Linked DNA regions of Pelodiscus sinensis. The protein of the gene in region 3 interacts with the protein of the main gene of each other region in a biochemical or structural test. Links are inferred from orthologs where the notes say so. Each region holds a gene or a part of one and is shown on either strand. Other genes may lie near its edges. The genes, in order: SH3GL2, ERBB4, ITCH and SMAD3.

The links.
Region 1: the proteins of ITCH (region 3) and SH3GL2 form a complex in vitro, tested with the Homo sapiens proteins (2 studies listed by BioGRID, with this or other methods). The link is inferred for Pelodiscus sinensis from reciprocal best matches to the Homo sapiens genes ITCH and SH3GL2.
Region 2: the proteins of ITCH (region 3) and ERBB4 form a complex in vitro, tested with the Homo sapiens proteins (2 studies listed by BioGRID, with this or other methods). The link is inferred for Pelodiscus sinensis from reciprocal best matches to the Homo sapiens genes ITCH and ERBB4.
Region 4: the proteins of ITCH (region 3) and SMAD3 form a complex in vitro, tested with the Homo sapiens proteins (2 studies listed by BioGRID and IntAct, with this or other methods). The link is inferred for Pelodiscus sinensis from reciprocal best matches to the Homo sapiens genes ITCH and SMAD3.

The regions. Positions count from the first base shown.
Region 1 is NC_134716.1:20,842,907-20,850,556, reverse strand, and holds the start of SH3GL2 (endophilin-A1), read left to right. Parts: upstream 1-4,647; 5' UTR 4,648-4,807; coding exon 4,808-4,852; intron 4,853-7,650. UniProt on the Homo sapiens protein: Implicated in synaptic vesicle endocytosis. May recruit other proteins to membranes with high curvature. Required for BDNF-dependent dendrite outgrowth.
Region 2 is NC_134717.1:59,548,276-59,555,100, reverse strand, and holds the start of ERBB4 (receptor tyrosine-protein kinase erbB-4), read left to right. Parts: upstream 1-3,804; 5' UTR 3,805-4,150; coding exon 4,151-4,235; intron 4,236-6,825. UniProt on the Homo sapiens protein: Tyrosine-protein kinase that plays an essential role as cell surface receptor for neuregulins and EGF family members and regulates development of the heart, the central nervous system and the mammary gland, gene transcription, cell proliferation, differentiation, migration and apoptosis.
Region 3 is NC_134728.1:35,531,450-35,539,318, reverse strand, and holds the start of ITCH (E3 ubiquitin-protein ligase Itchy homolog), read right to left. Parts: upstream 3,012-7,869; 5' UTR 2,883-3,011; intron 1-2,882. UniProt on the Homo sapiens protein: Acts as an Acts as an E3 ubiquitin-protein ligase which accepts ubiquitin from an E2 ubiquitin-conjugating enzyme in the form of a thioester and then directly transfers the ubiquitin to targeted substrates.
Region 4 is NC_134724.1:3,775,141-3,782,111, reverse strand, and holds the start of SMAD3 (mothers against decapentaplegic homolog 3), read left to right. Parts: upstream 1-3,962; 5' UTR 3,963-4,168; coding exon 4,169-4,374; intron 4,375-6,971. UniProt on the Homo sapiens protein: Receptor-regulated SMAD (R-SMAD) that is an intracellular signal transducer and transcriptional modulator activated by TGF-beta (transforming growth factor) and activin type 1 receptor kinases.

The DNA.
Region 1 (7,650 bases), on a different chromosome or scaffold from region 3:
ATGCACACAGAGCAAATGCTTTAGCCAGCATATGGGGAACTTAGCCTTTTGGTTAAATTGGCTGTTATAAAGGCTGGGTTGGCAGAGCCAACATATTGAGAATCATCTCCGTTAATATGCTATTATTATTTATAGATCATTAGAATGGACTGCAAGAGGACATTATATAGATTTTTATCTGGATGTAAGGGTTGTGGCTTTAAACCAGTATCCAGGAAGCCTGCCTGAGATTGTTGTTCTACTTGTCACACTGACATTGTGGAAGGAGATGTTGCTTACTTCCTAAAAATCTCACCTGGCCTTTGCTAACCTCAGGTTTCTGATCTGTTTTCCTGACTGTCCAAAGCAAATCAGGCCTGAAATAAATAATGTACTCAGGCAAGTAGAGGGAATCCAGAAGCTGCTTTCTCATGCTTCTCATTCTATTTTTTCCACTTGTCCCCCAATCAACTTCCCATATTAATGGTGTGTGTGTGTGTCAATGCAGGAAGAAGTGGGAAAGAATGGAAGAGCAGGAGAATGGGGAGCCCTCCAATGGGGAATGGGTCAATTAGCAGTGGGGTGAAGGGAAGGAAATAGGAATTCTTTATCGGGGTGACTAGCATAGGAGAGGGGCTAAGCTAGAAGCCAACTGTCAGAAAGAGCCATTGGAGGTGAATACACTTATGGTAGGGAAAAGAAGAAAGGTGAAAATATTAGAGGGGTGAAAACCCATCCCAGAGGCTGACATCTTAGGAACAAGTTAAGGGACAGGGGACCTACCAGACAGGGAGGCATATTGTATAGGGATAGAGGGAAGGAAGGGAGAGATACCATAACAAGTGCAGTGTGAGAGGACATCACTGAAGAGAAGGAGGAAAATCTCAGGTTAGGAGAAGACAGAAGAAGCAGGAAAGGTCCACAGAGGTGGTTGGGGGAGACAGTTGGGGATAGTAAAATCGACTCTTTTGTATACTGCTTTGAGATGTACTGATGAAAGAAATCAAAGAAGATGAGGTCTACTGATAAGAGGTAGATATTTTTATAAATGAAAATGTTTTATTAAGTGTCCATATCTGTGTGTGCACTTATTTGTTATGTTCTGGGGTCCACACAGACCAGTAAGGGATGTTTAGAGGTTATGGTTCAATTCACTGACACCAGTAGCTTGCCCACAAGCATATAGTCTCAACCTGCTTCCCACCCATCTGCTTACTCTTTGTAGGTGATACTAATAACCTTCCCAGTCCTGGGTCTCCCAAATTCATCCTTTATCACCCTCAACGGTTTGAAACCAGACTGCCACTTACTAGCTCACTTTAGCATATGTGCTCCATGCTGTGCACTGGAGACAGGCACAGTACAAAAATAAACAAGTTATTTATTAGAAAAATCACTAATCCAGAGATAAAATAGTAAGGAAAAGTAAAAAATATACAACCTACACAGAAGACGAAGACATAATTTCAGGTTTTATATTTTCAGATTAGATTAAATCCTTTTTTCTGATTAGTGTTACCCGATCGTGTTAAAACAGTTTCCTAGCATAGCTCCTAGCTATCGAAAGAATCCAGCATTCCTCGAAGGCAGGGCAGAGATGGGGCAATAGTATGTAACAATGATTTAACGTTACCTGAACTTCTGATTTCCTACAATTCTGAATCAAAAGACATTGTAGGTTGAAATTGTACTGTTATATCTGATGAGGACTTATTGAACTAAAATGTAGGTAATATAGTATAGTACTTGTTTTATTACTCTTGTGTAGTCCTGAACAAAACCTCTTATGTTCAATGGGAAATTCCAGTAGGCAAAAGTTTCTGCTCTACTAATGATAATTTCTGAGGGTACATCTCTACTACAGGACAAAGGCGAATTAGGATATCAACTTCAGCTACATTACTTGTGTAGCTGAAGTCAAAACATCTTAACTTGGCTTTTGGTACTGCCTACACTGAAGGAAGTTGAAGGGAGAACACTCTCTTCGACTTCCCTTGCTCCTTGTGAAAGCAGGACTACCAGCATCGGCTGGAGTGCCCCTTGCAGTTCGAATTAGCTGTCTTAACTAGACCGCGAATTCGAACTCTGGAAGATCAACAGCAGCAGCTTCGATCCTCCTCTGTAGTGAAGATGTACCCTGGGAGTACTATACAAGAATCATGCCTACCAAAGGAATGGAATTTTGGATTCTAATATTTTAGCTTGGTTATCTTTATACATATTAATTTTTAAATAATTAAACATGATTTCTTTTCACCATATACTAAAAACAATGGCAGAATATGGGAACCAGTTAGTCATAGAGGTAAAAGGTAGAAAATGTATTAAGTTATCTAATTAATTTCCCTGGCAGTTCAGCAAAACACCAATGGATATATTTTCTAGTGCTTAGTGCAGTGCTGTTTTAAAGTACAAAACCAATGTTTCTTTCCATTTAATTGGGAGAGATTTATTTAAAAAATAGAAAACTTAATTTCTATAAAAATCTGTTATCTGAAGAGAGTTCAAATTGTTCCTCCCACCTTTTACCTTTCATCTTCCTCCAAAGATAGTCTCTGAAGCCTTTTGATCAAATATCTTGATAAAACAAAAAAAAATGTGGAAGTGCTTGCAGGTTGATAGTTCTCAGGTTACCCAAAACTGAGAATCAGCTTGTTAACCCTGCCTTCAGTGAGAGGGAGTCTTTCTTCTGGTTCCCATTTAAGCTCTTTCCACTGGACTTGTACCAGCCCTTCCTTTACCTTGTAGGTTAACAATAGGTGCACTCCAAATCCCTTTCAATTATACCCTTCTGACACTCACAGAATTTTCAAAGCTGCAGTGTACCCCAATTTACCAGCTGTATCATGAACTACTACTTTTATAAGCCACACAAGACTTATGAGCACTTTTAATTAAACAAAACTAGGGATGTTTAAGAAAAAAATTAAAATTTTACTGGAGATGAGAGAGTGATGGAAATGGTTACAATAGGAAACAAAATCATAAATATGAACTGTGGTCTACACTTCTCAATAATTATCTTTCCAACCTAATACAATCGATGCCACCCTCCTGTCTCTGTCATTGTTTAGTCTATTGCAGAGCTGACTGTTTCCCCAGTAAACAGAATCCAAACCATTGATGAAAGCACCTCTTCTGCAAAGGATTTTCCTGAGTGAATGAATCAATAGTGTCTTTTGTTTCTAATCCTGGACAGGGTGAATGTTTGTGGTAATGTTCCGCCAGCAGTCTCAGGCGGTCTTCTCTTTCACTGCCTTACAGTGGCTGCCAGGGCAACTTGCCCATGGGCATCTGGTAGCCTAGGTGGGGGAAGGCTTTGCTGTAGGTGTTCTGGGGGCAGAGTGTTGCTGCCCCCCAGTGCCCACTCTCCCCTGTGCTCCAGCGGCCCGGCAGGCAGGAGCCATGTGGCTCCTTCCTCAGTGCTCCAGGGGTCAGGGAGGTGGAAGCCGCATGGCCTCCTCTGTCCCTGGTGCTCTGAGGACGGGGCAGGGTGTGGGCATGTGCTTGCATGCTCCTCCCCCATTTCTTCCCCTTCTCATGGTGGGGTCAGGGCCTTAGTAGAGGGGATGGCACTGTAGGTGCGGCTGGAGTCCTGCCTCCCCCAGCTGCACTGACCGCCCATGAACCTGCCCTCTACTTTAGGTTCCAGCTCAGGGCCCTCTGTACAGTAGCCAAGGTCCATTCCCTGCCTTTCCCTAAGCTAGTTCCATACCTCCTAACCTTCCCCATTCCTCTGGGCTTGCCACTTTCTTCATTCCCTCCTCCCACAGAAAGCTTTAGGCAACTCATCCCTGCAGGCATCCCCAAACGCACCTCCCTTCTCCCAGGGAGGGTCTACGCCAGTGTTTCTCAAAGTGGGCTATGGGCCTAGGAAAATTAGGTCACCTTCGTTTGTCATCTTTACTATAGACTTAGGTGCCTAACTTCAAGTTTAGAAAAATAGGGGCTAATTCGAACATCATCTGAATTCTGCCTCTGGCATATAATCAGTTAGAGCAGAGTGAGGAACCTTTTTTGGGTCAGGGGCTGCTGACCCACAGAAAAATCAGTTAGGGGCCACACCAAACTTTCACTGATCCCGGGACTGAGAAGGAGAAAGATACTCTCCACATGCCCCTTGCACACCAGAGCCTAGGCCCCCCCTAGTAGATTTTTTTATGCTCCAGCCCCACATGGGGTGAGATTGGTGCAGCCGTGTGGGCTCCGCCATGTTGCGTGGAGAGCCCTGGGCCTTGGGGGCTGGATCCTGGCAAGCAGGGACCACTTCTGACCTCTGGGCCTTAGGTCCCCCACCCTTCAGTTAGAGAAACGTGCTGCAAGAAATTGACTCGATCCCTACAGCCCCGCACGGGTAACAACATTTGTAGCCACATCCCCATCCATTGCCGCAAAAACGAGCCGCAGCTGTCCGGGATCCCCATGGATTTGCAGAGCTCTGTGTGTGAGGTCCCGAGGCCCTGGCACGCGGGTATAGGGGCAGGGTGAGTTCAGGGTGTGGAAAGCTCTACGTGCATGGCAAATAAAAAAGCCAAGGAACAGGTCCGATTGCTTTCATTGGCGCTTATGCAGTTCTGCAGGAGGGAACGCAGGGGCCGTGCAGAATGCAGCGGGCGCCCGGGCCGGACGCTCGCTCCCAGCCCGGGCGGGGCGGCAGGGAGGACACCTGTCTCTTTAAGGGGCTGGGCTCCCTCGCTTTGACGTCAGGGTTTCTGCACCACAGGCTGGCATCTGCGAACCTGCGCGCCGGGGGAAAGAGGCTCGGAGAGCGGCACGCGCGAGAGGAGCCCCGCTTCCCGCCTGCAGCCGCCCCGCGCCGCCCGCTGCCATGTCCGTGGCCGGGTTCAAGAAGCAGTTCCACAAGGCCACCCAGGTACGGGCGCGGCGCCATGTCTCGGGGCGCCCCGCTACCCCCCCTGCAGGCGCGGGGCAGGATCCCGGGGGTGCCTGGACGCGGGGGCCGGGGGCTGATGCCGTGACCGCTCCTGGAGCTCTGCGGGCGGACCCGGGGGGGGGGGGGGAGTGTGTGTGTGTGGGGGGAGGGGTCCTGGCTTGCATTGCCTCAGGGAAGTTGTGGGGTCGGAGGGGGAGCCAGGGAAGGAGCCAGTCCCCCCCACTCCTATGCTGCCTCCTCCCACCCCTCCCCAACTCCAGCTGATCTGCAGTCTCAAGGGACCCGGGAGTGTGTGTGTGGTGGGGGGGGGGGGTTGCAGGAGCGGTGGGGCTGGTGCCCCTCCGGGTCGCTGGACGGGTCTGCAGCAGGTACCGTATCCCCGGGGAAGGAGGCGGCGCGCGCAGCGGGGCGCTGGGTCCCTCGCCGCAGCCCTGCCTGGCCGCCGCAGCTGCATTATTTAGCGAGCGGAGTCCAGGCTCGGATGGCAGCCGGCTCCGCTGCGGGTCCCGCACTGCAGGCGCCTCTGTCCTCTTGCGCCCGCAGAGCCGTTCGCAATTGAATTACTAGATCCGCTCTGCCCGCCCCTCCTCCCCCAGGACGGGGACAGCAGAGCAGAGCAGAGCGCTTCGGGGCATTTGCCACAACTGCGCGGGGTGTGATTTTTTTCTCTGTGAAACCTGCGGCTAGTTGTGTGGCTGTCTGTGAGATTATGTAAAGTCCTCCTCCTCCTGTGACCTTGTACCATGAGTGCTCTCTGAAATCTCCATCCTTTGAGCAGTTGCACAGTGGGTCTGAACTGCCATGGTTGGGTTTTTCTCTCTCCCCTTAGCAGAAAACAACCCTCCCAAGGGATCATCTGTGTTGGTTTCTCACTTGTTATTTAGGTGCATAGCCCTGCTCAGACCTCGAGCAGTTTTATCAACAGTGAAACTAATTTAAGCAGGCATGTGCTTGATCTTTGTATCCAGAAGTGGGCTTTGCACTAATTTAAGAATTAATTTTGTTGAGTTTCAGATGTTTCATACATTCTGGCTTAAAAATCTGGCCTTAGAAAAGGGACTTCTTACACTGCACATCCTACAATCCTGGATTTCATTTGGATTTCTTCTAGTTGTTTTTGTAAATCGCCAGTAAACAGTAGTATTCAGATCACGGCCCATATGTTGGCTAGTGATGGGGTGAGGGAATCTTGCTGCTGTAGGTATTCTACATTATTTTAGAGCAATCAGGATGAAAGTTTCACCAGATGCAAATTTATTTTTAAAAATAACTTAAAATAATACTTCAAATGCAATCTGTGGTTAAATTTTAATAATAACATTGATGGAAATCCACTGAAGTCAGTGGAGTTACTGTGCATATTACATTGTCAAGACTGACATTAAAATTAGACTCTCTTCAATTCACATAGAAAATGAGATGGAGTGTCCTCAGGGTAGAGCGTAAAACCATTGTAAATAGTCTTCAAAAGGAGGCTTGCGAAATTCAGCACGGTATAACACCTTTGGGGAATCTGTACCTTCTCCTTTTCTCATCTCATGTCCTTTTAGGTTTCTACGAAAACCGTGCCTGCTTTTTGATCGAATGGAACAACAATTTCTTAACTTCATGCAATAGAAGACTCACTCAAATTCTGGTTCTAATAGTGAATTCCTTCAAACAAACAAATGGCATTATGACTATGAATATAATGGTGCATATTGGGACCTTTATCAACAGTGGTGCATGGAGCAACACATTGCATGTTGTCATTCATATCATACTGTGCTACTGTATCATTTGCTAATTCAGACTAAATGATCAAAGTGGTCCCTTCTAGCCTTTGAATCTAGGAATGCCTACTCACAAGTGACCTGTTTTCTTACAGTTGGACTCCCAAACCCTACAGGGAACATTTTAAAACTTTGGAATTTGGGACAGTGAGGGGGTGCAAACAGATGTGGGGCAGGATGCTGCTCAGCACCCCCACTTAAAATTGTTACAGCGCCACTCCGCTGTTACTTGAACAGTTTGTTTTCTCTTGAAAACACAATTGGATTCTAAATGTGTCAGGCTGTTGCATGGACCAAATAATTTTATTTCCTATATTTTAACTGGGTCTTATTGTAAAAAACTAATATGGAATACATAGAGGTGTTGGGATGTCATAACCTGGACCACAGCAATTATGCAAATTTTGCTTGAGAAATGAAATGTTTGAGATAGTCACCAGCAAGACAACATTTCATTTGTTAATATACTCCAATTCTTGAAAACCTGTTCATATGCCATTAAGTTGAAAAGTAATTTTCTAGGCTTACTGTGTCTTTCAGTCCAGAAAAAAATCTACAGTGTTTAATTGCGCTTGTATACTTCCACCACTGAAGCTGTTATGCTCATTCATAACATTATTCCCTGTGTGTATGTCTCTCTGGCTAACATGCACATACATAATATTTGACTATAAGCACAATAATATTTTCCTATTACAAAATATAAAGCTTTTTGGCATTTCTATAATCATATTAATTTAATTTTCTTCCATACAAAAGGAATTTATTGTACCTAATGTAATTTCAAATCACATTAATTACGTTTCTATGTTTATTTTATCCAATATCAATACTGTATTTGTTTTCTATTTTAAAAAGTAAACAGTTAAAAACAAAACAAGGCAGTCCACAGAATTTTACACACTATGTATAAGGTATTTATTGGAATAAATGTTGCAGTCTCCTTTACATGGAAGCTCTTGCAACAAGAGCAGCAGTATTAGCCAATGAAAAGCAAGGGCAAAT
Region 2 (6,825 bases), on a different chromosome or scaffold from region 3:
CGCTGAGTCCCAGATGGATAAGGGTGGGTGCTGTATGCCCCAAACCCATAGGAGGAAAAGGGTAGAAGGTGTCTGAATTAACCAGTTTGCACCTTAAGCCCTTGGTGTGGTAAAAGACAGAGTACCCTAAATTGGGCAGGTAACAGCCTGAAAAAATTGCCTGGGAATGTTGGAGTCTGTGTACTGATTAGGGATATAAAGAACTAACCAGTTACCCAGTAAGCATCCATGGGGAACTGATTATCCTGCAGCGGACTGCTGCGGCCAGGCCCAGTTCCCCCAGTCCGTGGTGCGGCAGGCTCAGTTAACCAGGTAAACATTATGAACAGTATAGAAAAGCTAATACTAAAGTCCATGAAATACTGGACATATAATACATTTGAACTTGTTCCCACTGAAGTGGAAGTCAATGAAAAAAATATCATTGAGCAGGATTGGACTTTGTCTGAACAGGCAGCAATGTCCTTCATACACCCATGCACTTGCTGTAGCAATTTGTTTGCAAACAGTCTGGATTTAGGGACTGTTAAATGTTGGCTGCTTTGTTCTATATTAGGTAGTTTAATACCAAGCAACAGTCGCCAGAAAACAGATTCTGTTCCCTAGGATGGATACAAGAGGAATCAGACAGATTTTAATTAGAGATGTAGTGAGCTGCTCAAAACAATTTACAGAGGTATGTTAGCATTTGCTGTTTTGCTCTGCTGGATACATTTCTGGGCTACAGCTAGTCAGTAACTGTAATCCACTCCAAATACACATTCTGTTCTATTTTAGGTTCTTGTACTTCTCCCCTTGCAGGGGTACAGGAAGCTAGGCAGTGTCACGTAGGATCAGACCCGGGGGCCAACTACCCCAGTATCTTGACCTTGGTTGGTAACCATACCAGAGTGCCACTTTACATGTCCGTGCACATGCTGCTTATTTCTACCCTTACACATTTTGACCATGTTACTAGAATAACACAATGTGACATAAACATGTGCTCAGAGACAGTCTGACAAGCACTGGTCATCTAGCTAAAGTAAAGTAACTATCAGCCTGACCATTCAATCACTACAACCTTTTCTTCATGTTGAGATAGGATACAATACCCTACTCCCTCCTGTTCTCCAATGCCCAGTACAGTTCTCAGTCCAATCTTTCCTCCTAACTCATAACATTCCTGGCCTGATAAGCATGAGTGCTGGACACCCATACCTCCCTTCAAGTCAGGTACTGCAGCAAGCTTTTGGCATTACTTGAGCTCAGGCTGGGGCTGCAAGTAATGTAAATATTTTACAGGTACTCTCCTACTGAAACCCCCTTTACCCTTGGAGGTGCTGCGATAGGACAGTACCTGTAAGAAATGTTAAGTGTGGGATGGAGTGCAGGGGGTTGAAGGAAGCTGAGGGCGGGAGTGTGCGTGTGTGTGTGCGTGTGTGTGTGTGCGCGCGCGCAGGAATCAGGAAAGAGAGCTGGGAGGGGTTGGGGGCTCAGGGCAGGGGTGGTAGGTGCAGGAGTGAAGGTAGGGGTGAGATGGGAGCTCAGGGCAGGTGTGGGTGCAGAAGTCAGAGGAGAGAGTTTCAGGGGGAGGGGTTCAGGGCAGGTGTGTTTGTGGGTGCAAGACTGAGGAGACAGAGTGGGGGGCTCTGGGCTTGGAGTGCAGCCACTGCACGGCCCAGCTATGGGATCCCCAGGGCTGGCAGGGGCTATGTTGTCTTACTGCCCAAGCACTTTCACCACTGGCTCAGGCCAGAAAACGCGTTGCCTCTTCCCCCTAGCAATTACCCTGCTGCTGCTGAAGACAACATTGGAAGGCCACAGTAGAGAGAACACATGTGTTCTGTTTTGGCTGGGACAGTCCACTTTTGAAAGCTTGTCTCAGCCATCCTGTTCTGGCAAAATTGGGCATTCGCCCAGTTAGCTCTTGCCAACTGACATATCCAGTTTTGCCAAAAAAAGTGGGACTCGACCCCTGGTATGGCGTGGAGGAACATGGTGGGGAGGACTGGCAGGAACACCAGCCTTCCAGGGGAGGAAGGAAGACAGACAACAGCTCGGGCCGGGCCGGGCCAGGCCAACTAAGCAGAGGATCTTGTGGAAAGCCCCCATGCAGGAGGCCTCAGGCTGGTCCCACATGTGGCACGGGAAGGCAGCCGGCTGGTGCCTTGGGCAGGCCTGACTCCATGCAATGTAAAGATTTTAGGGCAGATACCAAAAGTCCTAGCAAGGAGATTGCCTGACCTACAGAGGGTTCATAAATGTGCAAGGAGGAGACCAGAGCTAATGGAATAGCTGTGGCTGGAGAGGACCCTCTGCAGGATATCAGGGAAGGGGAGGCAGTTGATGGGCCATCAGAAGTTTTATTTCTAGGTGGGAAGGGCTGTTGAAAGTCAAAGAGGGGAAGACTCCAAAGCTTCAATAAGCTACAGAAACTGAGGGACTGGGTCTAGACTGGCAAGTTTTTCTGCAAAAGCAGCTGCTTTTGCGGAAAAACTTGCCAGCTGTCTACACTGGCTGCTTGAATTTCCGCAAGAACACTGACGATCTAATGTAAGAAATCAGAGCTTCTTGCGGAAATACTGTGCTGCTCCCATTCGGGCAAAAGTCCTTTTGTGCAAAAGCTTTCGTGCAAAAGGGCGAGTGTAGACAGCTCAGCTTTGTTTTGCGCAAAAAAGCCTCGATGGTGAAAATTGCAATCAGGGCTTTTTTGCGCAAAAGCGCGTCTAGATTGGACACGGATGCTTTTGCGGAAAAGTGCTTTTGCGGAAAAGCGTCCGTGCCAATCTAGATGCTCTTTTCCACAAATGCTTTTAACGGAAAACTTTTCCGTTAAAAGCATTTGCGGAAAATCATGCCAGTCTATACGTCGCCAGGCTGTTCCCAGCAAGCCGCCTGCTCTTTGGAACAGCTCCTCTCAAGGATAAACCTCAGGGGTACAGATACTCTAGATTACTTTAATTAGCCTCCACTGGCAGCAGCCTCAGTCCAGAATAGCTCCTGCCTTGCTGCTTTAGTAACAAAAGCAAAGCAAAACACCCTTCGGATTATTTTGGGAGCAATCCCATATGTCGAACTGAGTCATAGGCGCGGCAGACACGGCTCTTGTTTAAATGATGCCACCTGAAAGGGAACCCAGCCACCTGCAGCCTCTCTGAGCTGCCCCCGCCCCGGGCAATCAGCAGCCAGAGTGAGAAGCTGCGTGTGGACAGTCTGCTCCCTTGCAGAGCGCGCGCGGGTGTGTGTGTGTGAGGGAGATCAGGAGCGAACCCTTCACGCTCCTCGCCGCCTGCCACAGCAGGGGCTGCCCGGAAAACGCTGCAAAGCGGACCCAGCTGCGTTTGGGAAAAGCCTCCGCAAGCTGCGGGATTGCCAGCGGTCCAGCCTGTCTGCGGCGATGCAGCTGGGTGCGTGTGTGTGGACAACCCCCCTAGATCCAATGCAAGGGGGGGGGGTGCCTGCTTGGAAAAGGCAGCGTGCCTGTGTCCCCCACCCCTTCCCGCGCTCAGCCAGGTGCAACCGCTGATTGCAAAGGAGGGGAAAGCAACCCCCAGCCGCGCTTGCACGGAGCAGGAAGAAACAAGGGCAGCACAGCACCCCCCAGCCGCGGGACACCCCCCGCAGCGAGCCCATGGGCAGGCCACTGCAAAGCCGCGTCTCCGGGGCACGGCGGGCGCCCAGTGCATATCACCCCCTTACGGCTAACCCGGGGCAGGGCTCGCGCCGCCCGCCAAGCGCGCGTGACAGGTGTTCCCGGGCCGCGCGTGGGGGGAGTGAGCCGGGCCCCGCCGGCGGCGGGCGGGGCGGGGCTTGTGCCCAGAGGGGGCGGGGCCTCGGCGGTGTGTGTGTCTCGCTCCAGCCTGCCCCGCCGCTCGGTGCGGGATTATTTGGGGGGGCGGCGGCGGCGCGCAGCAGCCGGGGAGCGGAGGCGAGGGGGGCTCCCGGGCGGCAGCCCTGCAGCGCCGGGACCCGCGAGCGGAGCAGAAGCAGCAGGAGCAGCAAGGGGAGGGGCACCGCCAACCAACCCCCCCTGAAAAAAGAAAGTGGAGCCGGGGGAGCCACTTGTTGCGGGCCGAGTGGGGAAGAAGCCGCCGGTGCCCCGCGCCCGGCCGCGGGGGGAGCTGCCCGTGGGGACCATGTGAGCGCGCCGCCCGACCCTCCGCCAGCCATGAAGCCGCCGGCCGCTGGGCTCCTGTGCTGGCTCGGCTGCCTGCTGGTCTCCGGCGCCCTGCAGCCCGGCGCGGCGCAGGCAGGTGGGTGGCCGCGACGCCGAGCCGGTTTGACGACCCCCCCCTTGAAGTGTGACCCTGCGCGGGGGGGGCCTTGCTGGGGCAGCCGGGGTCCAGCTGCGGCCGCTCCGGGGGGGACGCTGCGGTGCCGCGGGCCGGGACGGCTCCTCTAGGAGCTGGCGGCTTGACGGGCGCTTCGCTGCCCCACCTGCGTGCGGCCCCGGGCGCCCTGCGCAGCGCTGGCGGGAGGGGGTCTGGCCTCCCCGGCATGCAGGGCTCCTAGGTTAACCTCCCCCTTCTGCGTTAGGCGCTCCCCTGGCAGGCTGCTGTGGAGCCAGGCACAGCCCCCCCCCCCCCCCCCGTAACACTCCCGTTGCGTGGCTCCCGGAGGACTTTGTGGAGTTGTTGAGCTGCTCTTGGCCCCGGTCCCGGGATGAACTCGGCACGCGGGCAGCGGGGAACAACCCAGCCCGGCATCTTGGTGCAAGGGTTGGCGGCATCTTCACCCCCCCCCCCCCCCCCGACGCGTGTGACCCCGGGAATCGGCTGCCCCGCTCAGACTTTGAGCCGAGTCAAAACGCTCGGGCTTTAAGCCCATCCTCTAGGGTGCCCCCCCCCGGTGAACGCGGGGCGAGGTGGGCTGGACGGGTCCGTGTCGCTCTCCTCCCGTGCAGCCTGCCAGACGCGGCTGGGTTCCCCTGCGTTTGTGCGCGCACCGTGCTGCGGGCACGCATCGGCTGGCTGCGGGGTCGGACCCGCGGCGTGCGAGCCTGGGGTGCCCTTCGAGCCCCTGCAGACCCCCTTCCACCTGGCGGTGCATGCGCCCCCCCCCCCCCTTCCAAAGCAGCGTGCGCTTGGCCGGGCGGAATATCTGTGGGGCAACCTACAGCGTTTTCCCTCTGCTTTCAACCGCGCTCCTTGGGGGGGACTCTCCTTTGCAAGCCCCTCTCGGGATTCCCCGGCACGGAATATCCCCCCAGATTAGTCCCGCGGCGCCGCCGCCTCCTCCCGTAGGGTCCCCGTCGCGCGCGAATCCGTCCGAGTCAGTGGGATGTGATGAGTGTATGTTGGACAAGGCTGGTGTCACAAAAGCCAAGCTCGGGTTTTTCAGACACCAGGCGAGCCAGGATGCGCGAGGAGGGGCGAGGAAAGCTAGTTCGTGGATTTCTTTGACTCGAAAGACGGTTGCGGCTGAGAAATTGCAACAATTCTGCGTGCAGGGAGGGGTGGGGAAAGAGATCCCCTTAATTTCGGTCTAACTACCAAAGCCAATGATTTGTCTGTTCGTTTTTGTGTGCTCTCCCCAAGTATATCCGTATTGAGCGTTCCCCCGTCAGTAGCAGTTTGGAGGAGTTTGTTTTGGTCCAAATGAGAAATTAAGTGCGGATAAGTAAACTAAGCTGCCAGAGGGCGACAAGATGTTGTGTGAATTGCTTTTAGATGAAACAAATTAAGGAAACGAGGGAGACAATCTGCTTCTCGCATTATTAGACACGCTTGGAGTTCAGGGGAAAGTGGCATATTTTTGAAATGCTAATGTCTTAAGAAGCAGAAGGAATGCACCTTATTTACTGGTTTATGTGAATAGAATAGAAATATTGATTTCTCCCCCCTCCCCAGTACAAATCATTAGACGTGTGGTTCTGTCTCTTCAAAGAAACCTGTAGGAAGTCTTGTTTCAATTTTTCCCCTTTAAAATTGCAGGGGTGCATCTATGAGTCAACTTGTAAGATATTTAAAAGGGGTGTCCCGTAGCATCCCTAGAGACGATACATTATACTACCGTTTACGTTTCCGATGTCAGTGTTATATCCCCCAGCAGAACAATTCCTGGGAAGTAACTCTGTATTGGTGTTCATGTGTGATTTACAAGAAAGTGTTAGTATATCGTTCATTTATTCTGCAAAAGGGAAACATAAACACACTCCTAGACAGAAGCAAGCAGCGGTTCCAAGTCCACAAAGTGTGTTACGCTGTTTAACCTGGGTCTGTCCCGAGGCATATAAATAAGGGTTTCCCCATATATTTTTCAATGTTTCCAATTATTGCCAGGTAAACCTACATAGTTGGATTCCTGTTTAACCAATTTATTAAAAAATGTAATGACCTTGAAAGATGAAAACAAAAGCCTTAAATGTACATTTTTCCTTCACGGTGACTACATGTTTATGAAAAATACACAGTGCAAAATTTCCTTAAACTCCTTTCATAGTGCTTGAGGTTTTCTTGTGTTCAGAAAGATGTTGATTTGCTCAGATTTTAACGTGGGTTTGGATTGGTCTCACTGAACAGATTACTACTGCTTAGATATATTGTAAAATTTTGCATTTGTGTATAGACCTGATGATAGAAACACAATGAGATTTTGTTGGCTATATTTTTTTAGGGGACAGTTGTTTTAAGTTAGACATTAAAAAGAGGGCGTATAAAATTGCTCACATTTCCTTCTTGTTTTAAATAATGGGGAGATGAAGAAGTTTGACCAATCACTGGTGCATTCACACATTCTTGACATGGTCTGTGTTCCTATTTTTAAGTAGCTGAGATCAGAGCTATGTTGAGAGAGAACTGATATATTATCTGACACTTAGGAAAACGCTTTTATAATGACGTA
Region 3 (7,869 bases):
GGTCCAGTAGCACTGAGGACGCTACCGAACCAACCCAGCAACACCCCAGCTGCTCTGCCCCCAGCGTCCCCAAGTCAGCCGCTGCTGAAACTGACCAGCCCGCTGGTCAGTTTCAGCAGTGGCTGAATGGGGGACAGCTGGGGTGCTGCCAGGTTGGTCCCGCAGCACCGAGGGGCAGCGCTATGGGACCTACCAGCAGCACTCCAGCTGCTCTGCCCCCGGCTTCTCCAATTCAGCCGCTGGTCAGTTTCAGCAGCAGCTGAATCGGGGAAGCCGGGGGCAGAGCAGCTCCAATGGTCCGGCTGCCTGGAGCACTTCCGGGTTCCTGATGGTGCCGGACCATCAGATGCCAGACCAATGGAGTTTTACTGTACATCTATTCTACTGCTGCCTCTCAAAAATCTGGAGCTGCCTTCCCTGTTGTTATAAATTATAGCTATCAAAACAAGGTAAATCTTGAAAGAGGTGTGGCCCAAAATTTCAGACCCAGTTAAATAACTCGCACATCATTGTAATCTTCCTCTACCTACAATTTGGATTTTATTGTCTCGCAATGTCAGTCCTACACATTTAGATACTAGAGGATCAATAACTAAGGCCTATCGATGTTTCCAAAACTAGAAGTGAGGGGCCCAACGTTGCCATTCTAGAGTGACTTTATTTACTAAAGATTATACATAGTGTACCAAAACAACCATTCACATTGCAGTTACAAACACTTATGCTTTAGTGTTCTGGGCCATCATTTTAGGACACTGCATTATTTATAGGACAAAGCAAGTAAACACTAGTGAGATGGCTGCAGCAAGATTCGTCAGGACAGAGTGAAGACACTAGTAGTCAAAGGAGGTTCATTTCAAAGTCTGGGAAAGGGGCTGAGCTAGACAATTATTGGATTGAGAGGAATAAATTGGGGGGAATGAGTTATCAACTCACACAAGCCAAACACCTGGTGGTGATTTTGGGGGGCAGAGTGTATGAATAAAACAGGCATCATGCAAGATAGAGGAACCTAGCAAGAGACAGCAAACCACCCCAGGGCTGGCAAATCATCCAGAATCAGACAGCCGCTAATGAATACCCCCAACTCAGGGTGAGCGCAGTAGCTACAAACCAGGTCAATGAAGTCTATCAACCAGAATGGGCTGGTGATTGACTGGACAGTGAGAAGACTGTAGTCAGAGCACTGGATCTGGTTGCCAAAGTGTGCTGGTCAGCTGTAGGGTCTGGCTAGAGATTAGATCACCAGGGTCTGGCCAAAGGGGGCTGGCTGAATGGGGCAGTAGCAGGGAGGTCTGGAAGCCAAAGAGCACTGGGTGGGGCAGTGACCGGGGGGAGGGGGGGGGGCAGCCAGAGGATGCTTGGCAGAAGGGCAAGGCAGGGGAGGCCTGGCAGTCAGAGGGTGGGGCAGTGGCAAGGGGAAGAAGCTGGCAGACAGAGGGCACTGGGCGGGGCAGTCGTGGTGGGGGGTGTCTGGCATCCAGAGGCACTGGGCAGGGAAGTAGGGAGAGTCTGGCAGCTGCTGGGCGGGGCAGTGGCTGGGGGGGAGTCTGGTAGCTGGAGGCACTGGGCATGGCAGGGGCAGGGGGGAGAGGGGTCTGGCAGCCGGAGGCACTGGGCGGGGTCCCACGGGAGGCAGGGCAGTGGCGGGGGGGGGGGAGGGTCTGGGCGAGGCAGTGGCGGGGGGGGGGGTCTGGCAGCCGGAGGCGCTGGGCGGGGCAGTGAGCGGGGGTCCCACGGGAGGCGGGGGGGGGGGCGCTGGGCAGGGCAGTGGCTGGGGGGGAGGGTCTGGGCGGGGCAGTGACGGGGGGGGGGGTCTGGCAGCCGGAGGCGCTGGGCGGGGCAGTGCCGGGGGGGGGGGTCTGGGCGGGGCGGGGCAGTGCCGGGGGGGGTCTGGCAGCCGGAGGCGCGGGGCAGTGCCGGGGGGGGGGGTCTGGGCGGGGCGGGGCAGTGCCGGGGGGGGGTCTGGCAGCCGGAGGCGCTGGGCGGGGCAGTGCCGGGGGGGAGGCTCTGGGCGGGGCAGTGCCGGGGGGGAGGCTCTGGGCGGGGCAGTGCCGGGGGGGGGTCTGGCAGCCGGAGGCGCGGGGCAGTGCCGGGGGGGGGGGGGTCTGGGCGGGGCGGGGCAGTGCCGGGGGGAGGCTCTGGGCGGGGCAGTGCCGGGGGGGGGTCTGGCAGCCGGAGGCTCTGGGCGGGGCAGTGCCGGGGGGAGGCTCTGGGCGGGGCGGGGCAGTGCCGGGGGGGGGGGGTCTGGCAGCCGGAGGCGCGGGGCAGTGCCGGGGGGGAGGCTCTGGGCGGCGCGGGGCAGTGCCGGGGGGGAGGCTCTGGGCGGGGCGGGGCAGTGCCGGGGGGGGTCTGGCAGCCGGAGGCGCGGGGCAGTGCCGGGGGGGGGGGGTCTGGGCGGGGCGGGGCAGTGCCGGGGGGGAGGCTCTGGGCGGGACGGGGCAGTGCCGGGGGGGGGTCTGGCAGCCGGAGGCGCGGGGCAGTGCCGGGGGGGGGGTCTGGGCGGGGCGGGGCAGTGCCGGGGGGGGGGGTCTGGGCGGGGCGGGGCAGTGCCGGGGGGGGGTCTGGCAGCCGGAGGCGCGGGGCAGTGCCGGGGGGGGGTCTGGCAGCCGGAGGCGCGGGGCGGGGCAGTGCCGGGGGGGGGGGGGGCGCGGGGCGGGGCAGTGCCGGGGGGGGGGCTGGCAGCGCTGGGCGGGGCTGTGGGGGGGGTCCCACGGGGGGCGGGGCAGGGGCCCCAGGGGCCGGGACCGAAACGCCCCCGCCCCGCTCGCTGCGAGCCCCGGGGCGGGAGCGGCTCCCCCAGCCCCCCCCGGCGGAGTCGCGGCAGCGCTTCGAGAGGCGAGCGGGCGGGCGCAGCCGCTTCTCCGCGGCGGACTCCTTACCGGCCGGGGCGGCGGGGCCAGCGCCTCAAGCCCTCCGCCAAGATGGCAGCCAGTCCGAGCCCAACCTCAGGCAGCGACTTTCCAAAGTCGGACGGCCACGACGCATGCGCAGAGTCAGCGATGGCGGAGGGCGTGGAGGGTGAAAACTACAACTCCCAGAATGCCCCGCTGGGAGTACGCACGCGCACTACCTGGGCGGACTGGGGTCGGACTGTCAGCTGATGGGTCGAGGGAAGCCGGTGGACTGGGCGCTGGCGCGGCTCCCGCAGGGGAAGGGGCTGAGGGTGGGCCACCAGGAATGGAGACTGGCCGCGTGAGTGGCCCCGAGCCCCGCGCTTCCCTGCTGCTCCCCCCAGTCCCGCCCCTCCCCCTCCAGAGCTGGAGCGAGTCAGCTGCTCCCCGCGCTCCGCCCCTAGCGGCCGGGAAGGGTCTGCAGGGCAAGCCCCAGTGGGCTACAGGTGCCACCACCAGACTGAACCGCGGGGTGGGTTCCCGGACGGATCTGGGGGGGGCGGGCTCTGTGAGCAGTGGGGGTCCCACAGAAAGGGACTGTTGGACTCTGTGTGAGCTTCCCCATAGGGATCCTGGGGGAGAACTTTGTGCAGGCAGGGGGAACTCACCTAGACAAGGATTATGGAGAGCCTCTGCTCACAGAGACCTTGGGGGCAACTCTGGGAGTAGGGGCCACCTCCCCGACAGGAATTTGGAGGGGGTTCTGTGCAGGTAATGTGGCACCCATCCAGACCGGGATTATGGAGGTGCTCTGTGCTAGCAGTGGAGTCTCCCCATAGAGGGGTGCTCTGTGCGGGTTCAGATGTGCTTTGAATTTATTTCATACAGAGAAGGTATAATATGGTTATTCTTTGAAAAGTGGCAGTGGAGGGTTTCACTTTTAATCTCTAAAGGCCTAATCCATCATCAGAATGGCAAATCCCAAAGGAACATGGCTGCTGCAACCAGCTCCAGTATAAAAAATTTAGCAGCACTAAGCACCTTAGATAGAAACATAAACACTGGTACAGTTTCAAAAAGAGATTTCTGCGTTGCATGGATCTGTGTACCTCTTTAGGTATAAATGCACTTACAGCACTGAAATCCTTTTCATCCACAGATCTGTCATGGAAGGAGGAAACAAAGCATACTTTCCAACCATTGCCTGCTATACCACTGTACCAGCTAAGAGTGAGAGGATAGTTCAGTCTCCGTAGTCTGGTCAATCCTGGGCTTCTACTGAAGCACCAGCAAGACTGTTCATTAATAGTATATTAGGACGCATTTTTATGAACTAATGAAGATTAAGGAATTCATAAAGTTCAACAGTTCATAAAACTGCACATCTCAAAATTACAGTAGGTACTGTGCATAAGTATTGCTTTTTCATGCCCTTCAGACCGCTGCCAAGCAATTCCAATGCACTGATGGCATCAGAACATGAAAGGTTGTGGACTTTTTCTTCATCAACTTCACTTTTATTATGTGACTTTTTTCCCTCACAGGGAAAAATGGTTTGTATAATTGTTTGTTTATAACATAAATCTTCATAAAATCAAGGTTCTGCTGTAATACATTGCACTTTTACACATTGATGACCTCCTGAGGTCTCTTCCAGTTCTAGTGTTCTATGATTATATGATCTTAAAGCACTTTGGCTACGTCTACACTGGCAAGATTTTGAGCAAATACTTTTAACGGAAGAGTTTTTCCGTTAAAAGTATTTGCGCAAGAGAGCGTCTACACTGGCATGTGCTTTTGCTCAAGAGATGTGCTTTTGCGCAAAACCAGTGTAGACGCTCTCTTGCGCAAGAAAGCTCCAATGGCCATTTTAGCCTTCGGGCTTTCTTGCCCAAGAAATTAACGTTGCCTGTCTACACTGGCCTCTTGCGCAAGAATACTTGCGCAAAAGGGCTTATCCCTGAGCGGAAGCGTCAGAGTATTTGCGCAAGAAGCACTGATTTTGTACATTACAACATCAGTGTTCTTGTGCAAACACTTGCAGCCAGTGTAGACAGGCGGGAAGATTTTGTGCAAAATCTTGCCAATGTAGACACAGCCTTAGAGAAAAACTGGGGTCTGGCAAAAGGGGGCTGGTTGGATGGGGCTGTACCAAGTAGGTCTGGCAGCCAGAGGGCACTAGGCGGGGTAGTGGCAGGGGGAGGCGGGTGTCTGGCAGCCAGAGGGCACTGGGCGGGGTAGTGGCAGGGGGAGGTGGGTGTCTGGCAGCCAGAGGGCACTGGGCGGGGTAGTGGCGGGGGGGGGCGGGTGTCTGGCAGCCAGAGGGCACTGGGCAGGGTAGTGGCAGGGGGAGGTGGGTGTCTGGCAGCCAGAGGGCACTGGGCGGGGTAGTGGCAGGGGGGGGCGGGTGTCTGGCAGCCAGAGGGCACTGGGCGGGGTAGTGGCAGGGGGAGGTGGGTGTCTGGCAGCCAGAGGATGCTTGGTGGAGGGGCAAGGCAGGGGAAGCCTGGCAGTCAGAGGGTGGGGCAGTGGCGGGGTAGGGTCCAGAGTGCTTCATTTTTTCTTCTTAAAGCACTTTGAGGAAAAATGAACTGGAGCACTGGGAGAGCTTTTGCCCAGCACTCCTGAAGTGGCCACACTGCCAAGGCTGTGCTTTAAACTTTCAAGCGTAGACAAAGCCTCAGCTTGTTCATGAAGATGGAATAATGCTGTCCTACAAGGAAGGTATTTGGGAACACTCATTTGAAATCCTGTTCGGCTACTGAGGATACAGATGTCATTAGTGGGGACAGATGCATGGTTTCCCACTCACATCCAGTAATAGTACTAACAAAGACTTCAAGTGATATGAGAGATTATCATTTCCAGGAGAATCAATGTGAGCAAAAGAAACAGGAGTAACTATTTTGTATGGCACTTGAGCACTACTGTGTTACTTATTTACACTGAAAAACCCAAAAGATCATTGTGTCCATTTATATTTATTGAAACCCCAAAAGAGCCCCATTGTGAGGATGCTGGACAAACTCTCACAGGCTTCTTCCTGCCAGAAATGTTAATTTTAAGAAGATAAGCAACATATGGAGGATGTTGGAAATATGAACTGTTACACACAAATACTTTTGTGAGCCCAGTGTTGTCTGCACATAATACATTACATGCAAAAGCATTATATTAAAAGACCTTTAAGATTGCAAAGTCAAACACTTAAAAGTTAGGAAATGCCTGAATTAAGGTGCTTGTGCTACACTAGTGTGGCTTCTTTGTGTGTAGGCATAATAATACATTCTTTAATTAGCTGATCAGATGCTAGCATTCCCAGGGGACCCCTGCTTAATTCAGTGAAAAGGTTGGTGCACAGTGAATGGGCAGCTATTTGGTATTTCCTGTTATCCTCATTATTCAGTGTGCATCTACTGGATAAAAGGAAATATTGCACAGCTACCTTATTTACTGCACCACATCCAAACCCTGCCCAGAGGACAGAGAGTGTTTCTGTACAGTTCTCATTATAATATCTGAGTACCACACACCCCAATGAATTTGTCTTCATGGGCTGTGGTGGCATTAGTATCACCATTTACCGATGAGGCACAGAGAATAAGGGCAAATGTGTCCCCCTAATGTTAGATGCCCCAGATGTCTCAACGCAGGCATCCAGAAAACGACACACACACAATTAGAGACCACTGGTGCAGATTCTGGTTTAAGTGATTTCCCTAGCCACACATAGGAACTCTATGATAGTTCTTGAGGGTGGCATTTAATTGCCTTCATCATGCAATCATCCTTTTGATATTACTGTTCCCCCGGCCCCCTGCACAACACCGATTCACTCTCAGAGCCCAATCCAGTCTAATAGTGTATGGCTGGGTAATTAAAGTCTATTATAATCCACAACATGGTCCTTGTAATGTACATCATGCACAATGTGCTTTAGTCAAATAAGTTATTGTCCTCAGTATAGAGATAAATGGGGAAATTCTATGGTCTATGTTATACAAGAAGTCAGCCTAGTCCTAGATGATCTAATGGTCCCTTCCAGCTTTTAAAATCTAGTTAGTTATGAATGAATCACAAGGAAGCCATATTAGGGTTGACAGGGTAACCTTAATTTTGGCATGTTCGTGTTGAGTGCTTATATTTGCAACCATAATGTTCTTTTAACATTTTTAAATGTAAGTTTCCGAATGTTTATATAAGCAAACTAAAAAAAAAAAAAACCACACAAAATTCACGATGTAGAACTTAATTGAACTTCATAGTCACCAGCAATGTTGGGATCTTTAGATTCACAGTACAGACCTTGGCCATTTGAACCAATGGAATAGCTGATAGCAGTAGTAGGTTGTTATCCTATATGTGGTCAGCCACTAGAGCAGGATGATACCCTTTGCCAATGAGCATCACAGCTATTTGCCACAGAGTACAAGAATAGTGAGGCATAGAAATCCTGAGTTCAGTTTTAGCTGCTCTAAAATGTCTATAGGCCTTTCTGTTCCTGTCCATGTTTGTCCTAGTGCCCCTCTACTTCTATCCACAGTCCAATGGCTTCTGCCCCACACCTCATCTGATCCTCTCCATCTCTTCATGACGATTATCCCTGCCCCCAACCCTGGCCTTTATTCATCTCACTTGGCTCCTGTTCCTTTCCCCCTCTGTTCCAGTTTCCTGCCCCAACTCATGCCCCTCATACACAATTTTAAGCTACTGAAAAAGTCTTATAATGGACAGTGTTAGACAACCTTGATAATAGATAGAACTGATGGGTCTGTGAGATGTGTCTGTCTGCTCCTCAGTCTATCCTGAATCAGTCTGATAATCTCTCACAATCTCCATGGGGGACATGAGTCTTGTGCTGGAATGTGAAGGTACAAAGTTGCATTAAGTTGCATAAGTCTGCTGGTCTTGCCTGATTAGTTCAGGTAGAGTATTCTATGATAAGGGTCACTTTGGGAGAATTCCCAAAGACACTTGTTAAACAGTACAGTAACTGACTAACTGGGGAGAGTGTGGGCTAGAGGACTTGCAAGGC
Region 4 (6,971 bases), on a different chromosome or scaffold from region 3:
AGCACCTCTGCACTTGAGTTGTCTTACGCTGGTCAGCCAAAAACTTAGGTCACTCAAAATCAGGACTACTTTCTAAGATGTTGTCTCTTCAGCCCTGGAATGCCCCCTTCCTGCTGATGTCTCACCCACTGTTAGCTACTCCACCACTTTGTGTTAGGACCCACATCTCTCCCACACAGCATCATCCTCGCCTCTGTGTACTGCCCTTCCATGGTACCCTCACACTCGGAGGTCCCAGGGAACCACCCCAATTCTCTATACCCACCTTGCCTGATAGTAGGAGTGGACTTGCTGCCTTGTTCTATCCTGGCTGCCTCCCTAATTGCCTCAGGCCTTAGAGCAAGGCCTCACCCTGGGAGTTTGCCTGGCCAGAGCTCCCCAGCCCTGCCTGCCTGCACCTCTAGCTTCTCTGACAGTTTGGTCCCACTAACTGCACAGCTGGAGCAAGAGTGAATAAATGCCCCCTGCTTCCAGGAGTCCTTATTTATACAGCCCCAGGTGGGCTCTAATTGGCTGTATCTTCATCAGCTGCTTACTCCACAGTCCCAGCCCTCTCCCAGGACTGGATTTAACCTTTCTTTAGCCTGTGTGGGGCAGATGCCCCCTCACACAGACTAGCAAAGTGAGTGGCAAGGTGGGCAACTGGAATACCAAATTAGCTAACTACATTGAGGCAAAACTACATTGTCACCTGGACTTCTTGTAAAAAATTTTTTTTTTTTATAGTGAAGACATAGCTTCTTTAGGGGCCTATCTCTGGCATGCAGCCCTACAGATTTCAGTGCCTGTATCTGTCCGCTTGGTCATGAAGGACTGTGTCATTTGTATTTCTTTTTGCAACATGAGTATCAATGACATTTCATCCCTCCACGTCATTCATGGTGCAGACTTTTAACAGTTTTACCTAACACTTCACACTCAGACAATCCCAGCAGTAGAGAACAAAGCCCAGCACTGGAAGGTGGGTGTGGTAGGAATCCTTACTGGAAAGAGTTTCAATGCGCACAAAACAGATATCAGACAGTATCACAAAGAAAAAACAGTTTCTTGCCATTTCAACCAGAAAGGACATTGTCTCAATGACTTGTATACCTGCATCCTGATTCAAAGACATTTTAACACAAGACTTGAAAGAGAAACCTCTGAACTGTCATTCATGCTTAAATTTGACACTTTACGCCTGGGTCTCAACAAAGATGCTAATTACCTTACCCATTACAAACACAGCTTCCCCAATTATCACCTCTAATATAATTAGCTCACAGACATTAACCTCCCCTCCCCAACCCCCTCTGTTCTGAAATTTGATTTGTCCTTTTTATATGTGTTTGCTTTTTTTGATTATAGCCCTTTGGTATATATGGTCATGACAATTTTCTTCCACAATTTGATCTGAGGAAGTGGGTCTGGCCCACGAAAGCTAATAAACCATCTTGTTAGTCTTTAAAGTGCTACATAGTCCTGTTTTTTGTTTCAGCTAGACTAGACTAACATGGCTACATCTCTATTACTATTCTGCCTTTTTAGGGGGTGGTTAATGGGTATGAAGTCCCCCTTTGCTCTCTGAGGGAAATACGAGCAGGTAAGGAGAGGAAGATCAAGTGTTACACTTTCTAGAGTGGGTGGTGGGGCACAGATGAGAGGGCATCCACCCATCTGCTGTAAAGTTGAGAGGTGATTACATACAGGCTGTGTCTAGACTGGCAAGTTCTAGATTGGCATGGACACTTTTCTGCAAAAAGTGCTTTTGCGGAAAACAGTCCATGCCAATCTAGACTCTCTTTTCCACAAATGCTTTTAACAGAAAACCTTTCCGTTAAAAGCATTTGCGGAAAATCATGCCAGTCTAGACACAGCCACACAGTACAAAACAGGAAGTGGCTGTCTAGAAAGAAGTACTGCAGAAAGGGATCTAGGGGATCATAGTGGATCACAAGGTAAACATGAATGAGTGGTGTGACACTTGCAAAAAAAAAAAAGCAAACATGATTCTGGGATGCATTAACAAGAGCATTGTGAACAAGATACAAGAAGTAATTCTTCCACTCTATTCTGTACTGACTAGGCCTCTTCTGGAGTGTTTGTGTCCAGTTCTGGGCACCACATTTCAAGAAAGATGTGGAGAACTTGGAGAGGGTCTAGAGAAGAACAACAAAAATGATGCAAGGTCTAGAAAACATGACCTGTGAGGGAAGACTGCAAGAATTAGGTTTGTTTAGTTTAGAAAAGAGAAGACTGAGAAGGGACATGATAGCAGTTTTCAAGTACCTAAAAGGGTGTTACAAAGGAGGAGGGGGAAATATTCTCCTTAACCTCTGATGACAGCACAAGAAGCAATGGGCTTAAATTATAGCAAAGGAGTTTTAGATTGGACATTAGCAGGGCTCGACAAACTATAGAATCTACTCGCCCATGGTGACTAGATTTCAGCTGCATGCCCCATTTACCGGCGATGTGCGTATGCGCAATGCGGCTCTTGACCATGCACAGTGTGGGGCTGGCAAGCGGCTTTCGCCACCGTTTGTCAAGCCCTGGACATTAGGAAAAACTTCCTGTCAGGATGGATAAGTACCGGAATAAACTGCCTCTGGAGGTTGTGGAATCTCCGTCATTGGAGGTATTTAAGAGCAGATTACATAAACATCTGGCAGGAATGACCTGTCCTAGATGATGCTTGGACCTGCTGTGAGGGCAGGAGCCTGGACTTGACCTGTTGAGGTCCCTTCCAGTCCTAGTATCCTATGGTTAGGTGAGAGGAGGTCTCCCTACACAATGTGTGTGTTGGGGGTAACTGACAAGAAATCCTGCTTCCAGGTATTTGGATTTATTGTGTTTTTTTCTGGGTGGCGGAGGTGGGGGGGGGGGGGGAAGGTCCATTGGTTGCCAAGTCCCTGGGCATTGAGATTAATGGAGAAGACCCTCCCCTTCCAGTCTCTGGGCTCAATGTGTGTATGGGGATGTCACGGACAGCAGCGCCCCCTACTCCCAGGGCTCGTGTATATGTTGGGGAGCCCCCATACTCTATGGGTTCCTTGTGTATATGAGGGGTGGGGGAGAGACACCTGTATTCCCAGGGCTCCTTGTGTACGTGGAGGGTCACCAAGCAGAGCCCCCTCCCTTGGCTCACTATTACTATGAAGGGGTCACTGAGGGGACCCCTCCTGCCCGGGCTCGCTGTGCATATATGGGGATCACTGAGGGAAGCCCCCATGTACTCCCAGGGCTTCTTGTGTATAGGGGGAGTCACTGAAGGGAGCCCCCCAGAGTCCTAGGGCTTCTGTATGTGGCCGTCCACCCCCTTCCCCAGGGCTCGCTGTGGGTATGAAGGGGTCACTGTGGAAAGTCTCCCCCCCACTCCAAAGAATTGTGTACACGGGGGGGGGTCTCTCAGAGGAGCTCTCCACAGTCCCAGGACTCCTCGTGTATGTGGGTCACCCCCCTTCCCCGGGGTTCCCTGTGGGTGTGAAGGGGTGACTGAGGGAAGCCCCCCCACTCCAAAGAATTGTGTACATGGGGGGGGGTCTCTCAGAGGAGCTCGCCACAGTCCCAGGACTCCTCGTGTATGTGGGTCACCCCCCTTCCCCAGGGCTCGCTGTGGGTGTGAAGGGGTCACTGAGGGAAGCCCCCCCCCCCCACTCCAAAGAATTGTGTACATGGGGGGGGGTCTCTCAGAGGAGCTCGCCACAGTCCCGGGACTCCTCGTGTACGTGGGTCACCCCCCTCCCCCAGGGCTCGCTGTGGGTGTGAAGGGGTCACTGAGGGAAGCCCCCCCCACTCCAAAGAATTGTGCACGCGGGGCCTGAGGGGACTCTGGGCGGGCAGGGGGTGGGGCCGGGCGCTGGCCGCCCGTTGCTCCCCCCCCCGCCCGCTGGCGGCGCGAGCCAGTAGCGCGCTTGGGCGGGCTGGCGGGAGGCGGGGGTGGGCGCCGAGCCGGGGCTGCCGGGCGGCGATTTGCATGCGAGGCAGACTGGGAACGAGCCGGGGCGGCCGCCTGTCGGCGCGCGCAGAGCGGGGGCCGGCGGAGGGGCGGGCGGGCCAAGTCGGGGCGAAGTTTGCCGGGGCTGCGAGCGACGCCAGGCGCCAGCCCCGCTGCCCTCGGCCCGGGAGGGGCCGCGCCGCCGAGCCGAGCGGGGACGCGGGCGGGCTGCGAGCCGGCCGCCGAGCCAGCATGTCCTCCATCCTGCCCTTCACTCCCCCCATCGTCAAGCGGCTGCTGGGCTGGAAGAAGGGGGAGCAGAACGGGCAGGAGGAGAAGTGGTGCGAGAAGGCGGTGAAGAGCCTGGTGAAGAAGCTGAAGAAGACGGGGCAGCTGGACGAGCTGGAGAAGGCGATCACCACGCAGAGCATCAACACCAAGTGCATCACCATCCCCAGGTAGGGGCGGGGGGGGGCGCCTCTCTGGGCTCCCACCCACAGGCTAAATCGGGGGGGGGGACACGGAGGCTTGCACCCTTGCGGAGATGCTCCCCCCCCAGATCGATGTGCATGTGCACAGGAGCCCGGGGGGGGCGCACAGGGAGACGTGTCCAGGCAGTGGGGATGAGCCCCTTCCTGCACGCCTGGGGTCCCATGCAGAGACACCTGTGCACCCTGAGAGGGGGCAGGCACAGGTCAGGCACATGCATCTGACGAAGTGGGTCTTTGCCCACGAAAGCTTATGCTCCTACACTTCAGTTAGTCTATAAGGTGCCACAGGACTCCTCGCCGCATGGGCCATACGTTCACCTAGAGCCCGCGGGGGAGACCGGTGAAGTCATTCACTTGCAGAGGTAAGGACTGGACGTCCACAAGAGACACGCGTCAACAGAGGGACGCCCATGAATAAAGACGCACAGACCTGCAAGCACACGGAGATGTGAAGACCCATATATATACCCATTGGAACATGCCTGACTGACACACATGTACCTGTAAATAGACGCAGGCAGATGTGTGCCCCCACACACGTTTGTGTGCGTATTATAGACATTAAGCATACACATGGGGACTCGGAAAAGCCATAACCATTAAAGGCTTGTGTTAGAGGAATTTTGCTTTTCTCTCTGGCCAGCTCTAATAGATGTTGGGTTTTGTATTCCTTTTTAAAAAAACTATTCCAGAATACTTTGGTTACTTGAAATTAAGAGGTCACGGAATTGAATTAAATCTATGAATAGAGGAGACAGAAATTAAGACAGGAACGCAAGACGGGAAATGTTTTCAGCTAAGATTTGAAAAAAGATGGATTAGTTCTACTCATGGGTGATACTCTGTTTTGTAGCCAGAGGTTTCACTCTTTTCTGTTACTGTTTAAATTAGTATCTCTGATTTCCTTTCTGAATCAGATAAATTAGTTTGCTTGTGTGTCTTGGTCTGTTCTGTCAGACATTTTCCTGAAGAAGTGATTTAGGGCCCTTGGATTTACGTTTCCAGAGTAGGTCGTTATACTTTCAAAAAACCCACCCAAAGCACACAACCAAGGAATGCAATTTGCATAGCTAAATTGGATTGCTGTTTAGGAGAGGCATCATATACATAAAATAACTGATTTTTTTCCACATACTTTAATCCTTTATGCAGTATTTTAATGCTTGACTCAGTACTATTGCACACAGGATTCATCATAAGGCACAGGAGAGGACAAGTATCTAAATGATTACATATTTTAGATTATCTTTGAGGAAATCAAATCACTGTGAACATTTTATTGCTGAAATTACGTTGATTTCTGTATGCTCATTCAGATATTTGGCATTTTAATTTATTTTATGGAATAATACAGCATTGCTTTTTTAACATGCTAAAGTTCATTGAGAACAGTTCAATGTGGTATAATGGTAGGCTTCTGTGTATTGATACGGTCTTTCATGTGTGTATGTACCGGTAAATTCTTGGTTGTCACAATGACTTAATATTCAGTACCTAGTGGTCACAAAGCTTATCTGTTTTATGAACCACAGATACAAACAGTTTTCAAATGTTATGAAGAGTTGAAACTCTTTTTTCAAAATGAATACCTTCAACAAATACAATTTTAATAGACTGTTCAATATACCCTGGCTCTTCTCTACCAAATGACAACAGGTCAGAGTTTAGTGTAAATTCAGAATGACTCCACTGAAGTCAGTGAAACCATCCTGGATTCTCACTTGAGTTAAAACTGAGATCAGAATCTTGATTTGGCTGTTCTTAAGCTTATGTTTGGAAACTCATCATAATCAGCTAAAGCTCTTTCTTGGAGTATTTGCTTACCTTAACCCAAAAACTCCTGCGACTGATGATACTTGCTATGTCTTTTGCTTTTCTGGTTTTAGTAAGAACTGACCAGTGTAGAATTGGAAGGGGAATCACCGGCATTTGCCATTTTTAGCATTAATGTTTGCCCTTTATGGGTGTTGTTGCTAATAATCATAATCATAATAATAAAGAATACAGAAAAAAAACAATTAGGTTAGCCTGTCTTGGCACTGTACAGACACCTAATAAGAGACAGTCCCTGCCTGGAAGTGGTTACAACAATGTAAATAATCAAGTGGTGAAGGGGAAATAGCTTTATAGAGTGGTGAAACTACTCTCCTTCTGAAGTTGCACAGAAGGTAACTATGTAGTGGTGTTGTAGCTGTGTTGGTCTCAAGATACTGGAGAGACAAGGTGAGGGCATATTTTTTTATTGGAGTAACTTCTGCTGGTGAGGTGGACAAGCTTTCAAGTTTACACAGAGCTCTTTTTCAGGTCTGGGAAACAAACTCAAAATGTCACTGCTAAATATAAGGTCAGTATCAGAACTAGAATTATAATCCAAGTATTCTGTCCAATGCCTTAACCACTGGACCACACTGCCAGTACTAAAATATCATTGTATCAGACTGTCAGGGCATTATTCTAATTCTCAGAAGGCTGCTTCTCTGACTATTTTCATTTTATAAATTTTGGACATTATTTCCCTAGTTTGTAACACAAATATTTTGGGAACAAAAGGCCAAACTGTTACG